Linked DNA regions of Saccharomyces cerevisiae S288C. Changing the gene in region 1 together with any one later gene gives a genetic interaction. Each region holds a gene or a part of one and is shown on either strand. Other genes may lie near its edges.

Region 1 (5,849 bases):
TTGAGCAAAATAGAGAAGGAAAGAGAGGATTCTCTCTCTGAGTAAAATCGATGAGTGGGGATTTTGTCAAAGTATTTATACTTTTTGTCCATACCATTTGTCCTACTTTTTTACCGTTTTTTTTTTTTTCAAGGCCAGGGAAAAAAGAGTCATTGCGTTTGTGTGACATTTCTTTTAATATTCATCGGAGAACACCGGCGGGCCACAGAGAAAAAAAAAAAGTCCATATTCCATGTACACTGCAAATAACCAAGATTTTTCATTTTTCACGAAAAGAGGGACAATGTACTAATGGCGTTGACGATGACGAAAGCACCATTTTGGACATTGTATGTCGTACATTATCGTAGAGAGATTCGGTTGTCTTTAAGGGACCGAAAAAAAGAAAGAAATCTTAGGACATCAGAAATGTACGTAGGCAAATGTATATCACAATGTTACTAATCAAGGTTAAAAAAAAAAAATCCTTTTAATGCTTAATTACCTTCTTAAATATTGAGTACGAAAACCTATTTCTAAAGAATGAGTATATATGTTAGAGCGTTGTGCTGCTCCTTTTAGGATTTCGGGAATGTGTGGTCTTACGCTTAAGAGCTCCCCAACGATGTTTCACATCAGTGAAACTTCTCTTGAAATGTTCCGTCATTGGGTCTTCTGTATTGGTTCTAGCCTGTCTCTTCAATTTCATGCCCTCAAGGTGGTCAATATGTTCAAGTCTATCACTAGGCAAGATAATTGCACGATCCAGTGAGTATGGTAGACCTCTATTCTTGCCTCTGATCAGCATAGCTATGATCACCAACTTAGATAATGTAGTAAACTGTCTTGAAAACGATTGGTTGGTGTCCGGATAACCTAGCGATAGCCCAACTGTACCGTAAGCGCTAACAATTTCAAAAAGAATTGCAAATATATTAAAGTTTGGTTCTTGTACGTCCTTTATCTTGTCCCCTTCACAAATGCAAATGATAAATAACCCTAAAAATAGAAACCACAAGTCAAATGAAAGCTGTTTCCTTAAATGGGCACCGATAAAGGATTTTGTAGATATTTCATTTGGATTTTCAGTTTTCTTTTTCTTTTTCTTTTTCCTGTTGTTATTGTTGTTGTTGTTCGAACTACTTCTTTGACTACTTTGACCTTCGTGACTCTCGTTTTCCTCGTCGTCATCTTCATCGTTACCATCGTCTTCAGTATCCGTATCTTCTGGTTCTCCCCCCATATCTCCATATAGTCCTAAAGATTGCTCCTCGTAAACATTTGTCCGTCGAATAGAGATGGCCAATGGTAATACGGAGACATACATCATTAGCATATAGGAGACTTGGATAGAAGGATGCAGTTGACTTAAATCGACAACGCTGAATCCAGCAGTTCTTGTGCTAACAGATTGAAACAGGCCGACAAGGACTCTATAGCCTTTCGATAATGATTTCACAACTGTTGAGCCAAAATCTAGAATAATAAATAAAATCCAATCAGTTATATTCAATCCTGCAAGCGTTAAAAGTAGCCACCATGTAGCTGCCTTAGGAAATAGCAAGGTGAAACAACGACGTGGATGGTCTAAGAGAAAACCTAAACTTTCTCTCATCTGTGATAAATCAGGAGAAATTTTAAACATTATCCAAATGATGCATCTAAGAAGGATGGGAAACCCTGTATTTCCGATAATGATAAACCAAATCATAACGATCAATGGGTATACAGCTTTGTTAAACGACATCATTGAATTTGGAGTTAATGTCAAACCTAAATCATTAAATGCACTCATTGCTGTCCAAAATCCCCACCATGTAGGTGAAACACCATCATCTCTAACAACTTCACTATAATGCTTTTTCAAAATAATCCAAGGTACTAACATAACAAAAGCAACAATATGCCATCCAACGTAGTAGACAACCAATATGGTGCATAAAAGTTTGATTGCTCTGTACTCGACACCACCTAATTCATCTTTCTGGGCTCTTGTTAATCCAAGGAAGTTTGAGTTACGTCCAATAGTTGGTTGCCATGATAGATACGTTTTACCACTGCCTTTAGATAAATCATGACGAGGATCTAGGTCATAATCGGTATCGAAATGTAAACCATAATAGCCTTCTTCATCGTCGTTGTAAGTAGGATAGTTGTTAAGACCATTGTGGTCGCTTCCTCCATTCGTGGAATAGATATTCTCATTAGAGTCGGAAGAGGCTTCTTCGCTTCCATTTTTATGAGAGCCATCATGATGTAAAATAGACTCTGCGTAATGAAGAATACTGTTTCCAGTATTACTATTATCAGGATAATTGCGATCGCTGTCAGATGCATAGGGACCATGTTCAAATATCTTGTTATTCCATCCCCTCTTCCTAAAGTTCGGTTTTTTTCTATGATGGGCTTTCCAATTTTGATAGACCATTTTTTGAAAATCAGGCGTCCTTGCGAGCTCATTTAGATCCTTAGCCTCTGCCATATCGATGGTCCTGGAACGTTCCATAGGAACTGCTCTTGAACGATTATCATCAAATGATTTGGTTTTATACATGCGGTGCAGGTTCTGCTGCAGTTGGTGTTTTTCTTGCTGTTGTTGGTGCGATTTGAGTTCTGAATCAGAATGTGGTTCAGACTGCTGTACTCGTTCATCTTCATCGCCGCTTTCGTTGTCAGCAAAGTATTCTTCGTTGTTATCGCCGTCGTTGTCATCGTCATCATCATCATCATCCATATCAGTAATAGGTTTTCTATCTGAAACATTGTTACTGCTGTTTTTCTCAATTGAACCAGTAGAAAGCCTTCTCTTAATTTGTTGCCGTATTCGCCGCGCTTTAGGAAAATGTTTCATGAGGTACTTCTTCGATGCTTTTTTTCGATAAAGAACGGAAGATTTTGGGTTCAAATCATCGAAGGTTGAAACTCTTTTTGAAATTTTTCTAGGAGGTTTAGTTATATCGAATTGAATTGATGGCCCATGCTTTTTGTCTGTTTCTGCGTTATCAGTAATGGCTATCGGGCCCGAATTTGATCTATGAGTATTTGTTCTTAATGAAGGTACTTTGTTACCAAAATTTGTGTGTAACGAGCTTTCGTCCGAAACGCTCGCCGTACTGTTTGCTTCACTTGACACGGAATTTTGATCAGTGTTACTTTCATTTCCCTTATCTCGAATCTTGATTTTGTTACCATTTATGCCGGTGGCCTTCTTTAGCTTATTGACATTACTTTTATATCTTGTGCCATCCGCAGGGGACCCGATGACTAAAGGGGGACCTTCATCTTCAGCAGTTGCTTCATGCTTACCTTGTAGCATCATAATGGATCGATACATATCGGCTGGGCTAATATCTCTTGAACCCCTTCTTTTTGCAAATTTCTCTGAGGGAACTCTTGCGGGTCTTTGTTTGCTGTGTGGCTCATCAAACCGAAGACTGCTTGGCTTGGGCTTCTGATTTAAACTTTCGTCTGCAACTGTGTTAGACGAACTACCTACCGTCGAGTAGGAGTTGTTCTCCTGATATTCTCCATTGTCATCCGTTTCGTCTTCCTTAACGAAATCATCTAAACTGCCACTGCTACCATTGTGATTCGTATTATTATTGCTGCTGTCCCTACTAATGTCATGAGAATTCTGGTCGCTGTGAACTGAGTCCTGCTCATCTCTATTAACCATTTCTCCGCTGAACAATTTTTCTTGGAAATCATCTGTTTTAGCTTGTTTCCTAGGATAAGACGTTCTTTGGGTACCTGTTCTATTCTTGGTCATGGTTCTTGCTGTTAGTTCCCTTTCTAAGATTGTTTTCGTTCTTCTCATCTTAAAATTTCGTCTAGAAGAGTCTCTAATACCATCGAAGTAGCGCTCAAACCAGTAAAGCCGTACAAATGCCAAGCAACTATGAACTGCAATTGGTGTTGATATGCAGCATACGATATACAGAACAATTTGTTGGTATAAGCTTAGATTGTTGATATCCACAGTATTTAAGCCACCTTGTGTAACTGCGCCCGCTGCTAAAAACAATGTATCAATGTATCTGGTATTCTTAATGGGATATAGCAGGATTGAAGTTATTAATGTCAGGGATATCGTGTAGAAGTAGTGAACCGCGATAAAACTGGGGAAGATATATTTTTTAACTGGAGCAAAATAGTGACCACATAGAGCAATAAAATCACGAAATTTATGGCCGAAAGATTTTTTATATCGTATTTCAAGAGATGCCAATGTGGGCACTCTACTCATCGTTCTTCTAAAATGCATTGTTAGTTATCAAAAAAAGGTAATAACTTTAAGTAAAATGGATAGGAATGACTTCCTTGAGAGCCAATAGAATACCCTCCTTCTTTTTAAGGCAATACAAGTGTGGAATCAGTGATGCTAATGGTAAGGTAAAAACAATGGGCGAAAGGAAAGCAACAGTAACAAAAAGTTTCTAATAATGTAAGAGCTCTTTATCTTGATAGGTAATTATTTACTGTTTTCCGTGAAAGTAGCAAAATTTAGAAGTTAGGGTAAGATACAGGTATAGTTCCTGGTCCAGACTCCACATCTACTCTCAATAACGTGGATTTGAACTTTCAAAACACCTTTTATTTTCTCGATGATTTTGGACTTTTTTTTCTTTCCTAGCCTTGAGCCGTAAAGAGCGGAAAAACCATCAGACAATTCCAGAGCATTTTTTCTTTCTTGCGTTGTCAGCCCCGAACGTAAATAATTTCGAGGAGTCGATGGCCGTAGCAATAATCGAATAACACAATATATTGACGTCCACATCGCTTCACTTGCCGGTGCTTGAAATAACATCCCCTCAATACTCTGTCATAATTCGTGCCCTTTTTTAGGTTCGACAAAAGGAAGTCAGACGATATATATATATGAATATATATATATATATATGTCTATAACGAGTATAATGCAAGTTTATTACAATAAACATATGTATATGTAAGGTTTTTTTGTATTCGCCGCATCATTTCCACAGTAGCTTTTCGTCTGCTTTTTTTTTGTTGTTATATTCACGTGCCTGTTTGCTTTTATTTGGATATTAACGCTATAAACCACCCATATGTAATGCCGGTACATTTTTAGATAAACCATTCTCACCACGTTCCCGTAAGATTTTGTTGCGCCTTTCTAATCGTTCAGTGATATACTCACTCATGTGGACATCCTGGTTTCTGTATTTTACTAACCAAGGATGCTCTGTTAAAGCTGCGTATGTAGGTCTTCTTTCCGGAATCTTTTGTAGACATAAAGAAACAAAATCTTGTGCGTCAGAACTGAATTTATCTGAAGGTAATCTCGGTGGCGGCCCATCAACAATAGCGCTCAATTGAGAGAAAATGTTGTCGTATGTTTCTGGTGGATACGGATATCTACCTAGTGCCATTTCCAGAATGCTTAAACCTAAAGACCAGATGTCTGACTGTACGGTATAGGTGGCTCTATCTGGATTCAACGATTTGATTCGTTCAGGTGCCATGTATGACTGACAACCAATATTAGTCTTCGCTAAAGATGCCACCAAATTACCAGAAACACCGAAATCGCACAGCTTTACGGTGCCTTGGTTGGCTGAACATAAAATATTTGTTGGTTTGACATCTCTGTGTATGATATTATGCTGCTCTTTGAGTTCTTTTAGTCCATGAATGACAGCATTGGCAATAAACGCTAGCTGAGGTTCATCAATGCCGCCGATTTCAGATGATTCGTCGTATATTTTATCCAAGGAACCACCATCCATGTATTCCATACACATGTAGACGGCGCCCTCAATAAAGAATGCACCATAAAAATCCACAATATAGGGAGAATTGCATTTATGCAAAACTTCTAGTTCCATTAAAATTTGTCTAAATTTAGC
Region 2 (3,563 bases), on another chromosome or scaffold:
AGATGAAAAACTGGCCTCGCTAGTTAAGCTCAGAAGAGAAATTGCTGATGAGAAAGAGAAAGCATCAAACAATGATGCTACTTTTGGTATAAAAAAGAATGATTTGAAAAAATCTAATTAATTGTAAAACCAAAACACTACCATCCAGACTTTTTTTTTATTCAACCATAGCCTTTAACTACTACTACTACTACTAGTACTACTACTATTACTATTACTATTACTACTACTAGAGGGCCTTTTTTTACTCCTAGTATTTTTGTACTATCCTATTTACTCTCGTTGTTTTTATTAGTTTTTTCACTCTTTTTTTCAATTCCTCACGAATCTACTGTTTTCGTAGTGCTTTTTTTTGTTTCATTGTTTATAGCCATCAATGGTTTTTGTTACTATCATTATCATTATAAATATTTCATACAATATATACAATATATATACAATAAATGAGAATCGATTTACTTTTAATGCATTTTTGCAGTCAAAAAAAGCTTCGTTTACATTTATATGTATTTATGTTTGTATTTCTGGGGGAAATATGCCTTTATGGGCGTATATACTCTTTCGTACGTTTCTACATCCGAGTAGCAGTAGTAACTCGGTATTGTGCTTTCGTCGCCATAATCAGGACTATCATAATCGAATTTTTTTTGCGTTTTGTTGTCACCACATATGGTCCCTTCTTCCTCATCATCTATCAATATTCCCAATTCGTAGACAGTTCTACTTAAATTCTCGTCAATGACTTTAGACACATACTTTCGTAGTTTCAATTCATACCCCTTAACCTTCCTTTTACTAGACAAAAATCTCGGACGTATAAAAATGATGAATATTATTATGCTTAGAATTAATTTGCTTATTAAAATTACCCATATGATAAACGAGAACAACATGAAGGACAAGATCACACTTTCTTCGTAATTTGTCTTAGCAATATGTTTTATCTTGTTTATTATTCCATTTAGGTCATCTAAATTACCTAGGCTTTGAGTACTATGGGTTCCGCTACTGGTCTCATTCGAAACTGTCAGTAAAACTGACCACAAAGTTAATCCGTTGATTATTTGCCTTGGAGAGTCACCGAACAATAGCCTCAAACATCCACTGATTTCAAAATATGAAAAGAATAACCACTTACTGAATTTTTTCTCATCAGTCAGCACTATTAGTTCGAAAATTTGATACTTTTTGAAATTGAACAAGCAATTTATTAATCTGCTAATGCCATTCATGTAGTTCGATGTAATCTCTTTCTTCCTATACACTCTCAATCCAATTACCAACTCCCAAATTAATATTAATGAGGAGCATAATATGCATCCGCTAAACAACCATTTTGAAATACGGAATTCCAAGAATGGTTGGATGATATTGTTCGACCATGTGTTAAATGCCAGTAATTTAATACACGTGTATATATCAGAAAAAAACATGGCCACATGTAGTATCGACTGACACCAGGTGTATAGAATATACTGTAATTTTGTGGTCCACTTCGCAGTAGGAATAAGATTTATGTCAATATCCTGGAATTTCAATTTTTGTAAACTTGATTCCATTATTTAGCGCTTTGTTGTCATTTTCCTTTCCCTCTTAGACAATGTGGTAAAAAATGCCAGCTCCAGGGCTTTCAATTAATCCATTATTGATTTTTAATCTGGAGGTTTGAGCATGGCTGAATAATTTATATACAAATATCTTTTTTTATTGTTTCAGATCATTCGTTTTCAGTATGATTTACTATCATTCATTTTCTTTTTCTTTACCATTTTACGTCGCCGTCGCACATCTTAAAACAAATTTAATACAGAGTTGAAAGTTTCAGACTTAAACAGAATTTACGCAAGAAAGTTTTCAAAGTCCTAAAGTAAAAACGCGCCTTCCACAGCCATTTCTTTGTTCAACAAAAAGTTTTGGCCCTTACTGCTATTGGATACTTGGCAATCCGTCTTTCGTTATGCCAGATGAAACAAATTTTACAATAGAAGATATTGAGCCTAGGCCTGATGCCCTTCGAGGTTTGGACACCCAGTTCCTTCAAGACAACACAGCATTAGTACAAGCATATCGTGGTTTAGACTGGTCAGATATTTCTTCGTTGACCCAAATGGTAGATGTTATAGAGCAAACAGTGGTTAAATATGGCAATCCAAATGATTCAATCAAATTGGCCTTGGAAACTATTTTATGGCAAATATTGCGTAAGTACCCTTTATTGTTTGGATTTTGGAAGAGGTTTGCTACTATTGAGTACCAGTTATTTGGTCTCAAGAAATCGATTGCTGTTCTGGCCACCTCGGTCAAATGGTTCCCAACTTCTCTGGAGTTATGGTGTGATTATTTGAATGTGTTGTGTGTTAATAACCCGAACGAAACGGATTTTATTAGGAATAATTTTGAAATTGCAAAGGATCTTATTGGCAAGCAGTTTCTATCACACCCTTTTTGGGACAAGTTTATAGAATTTGAAGTTGGGCAGAAGAATTGGCATAACGTTCAAAGAATATACGAGTACATTATTGAAGTTCCTCTACATCAGTATGCGCGGTTTTTCACATCTTACAAGAAGTTTTTAAATGAAAAAAATTTGAAGACAACAAGGAATATTGATATAGTTTTACGAAAAACACAAACAACAGTAAATGAAATTTGGCAGTTCGAATCGAAAATCAAACAGCCCTTCTTCAACCTGGGCCAAGTGTTAAATGATGATTTGGAAAATTGGTCGCGATATTTAAAATTTGTGACGGATCCTTCAAAATCCTTGGATAAAGAATTCGTAATGTCCGTTTTTGACAGATGTTTGATTCCTTGTCTTTACCATGAAAATACGTGGATGATGTATATTAAGTGGCTAACAAAGAAAAATATATCCGATGAAGTGGTAGTGGATATATACCAAAAAGCCAATACGTTCTTACCACTGGATTTCAAAACTTTGAGGTATGATTTTCTTAGGTTTTTGAAAAGAAAATATCGGTCAAATAATACCTTATTCAATAACATATTCAATGAGACAGTATCGCGTTATTTAAAGATTTGGCCCAACGACATATTACTTATGACGGAGTACCTTTGTATGTTGAAAAGACATTCTTTTAAGAATTCCTTAGATCAATCGCCAAAGGAAATTCTAGAGAAACAAACATCGTTTACTAAAATCCTAGAGACATCAATCACCAACTACATCAATAATCAAATTGATGCCAAGGTGCATTTACAGACCTTAATAAATGATAAAAACTTAAGCATAGTCGTGGTAGAATTGATAAAAACTACATGGCTTGTACTTAAAAATAATATGCAAACAAGGAAATATTTCAACCTTTATCAAAAAAACATCCTCATTAAAAATTCTGTACCGTTCTGGTTAACTTACTACAAATTTGAAAAGAGTAATGTAAATTTTACCAAGCTGAATAAATTCATTAGGGAGCTTGGGGTAGAAATATACTTGCCGACTACAGTAATGAATGATATTTTGACGGATTATAAGACTTTCTATTTAACTCATTCAAATATCGTCACGTATGAATCCTCCATTATAGATTCAAATACATTTG

The links.
Region 2: of TRK1 (region 1) and PRM6, extra expression of one rescues a mutant of the other (dosage rescue), as found in Saccharomyces cerevisiae (2 studies listed by BioGRID, with this or other methods).

Annotation. Positions count from the first base shown.
Region 1 is NC_001142.9:173,064-178,912, forward strand, and holds TRK1 (Trk1p), read right to left. Parts: upstream 4,244-5,849; coding exon 536-4,243; downstream 1-535. Other genes in the region: mitogen-activated protein kinase kinase PBS2, read right to left, coding at 5,034-5,849. UniProt on the Saccharomyces cerevisiae protein: This protein is required for high-affinity potassium transport.
Region 2 is NC_001145.3:179,517-183,079, forward strand, and holds PRM6 (pheromone-regulated K(+) transporter PRM6), read right to left. Parts: upstream 1,560-3,563; coding exon 501-1,559; downstream 1-500. Other genes in the region: GSF2 (Gsf2p), read left to right, coding at 1-121; PRP39 (Prp39p), read left to right, coding at 1,958-3,563. UniProt on the Saccharomyces cerevisiae protein: Low affinity potassium transporter that, with KCH1, participates in high-affinity Ca(2+) influx system (HACS) activation during the response to mating pheromone. Directly promotes K(+) influx and HACS may electrochemically respond to this K(+) influx.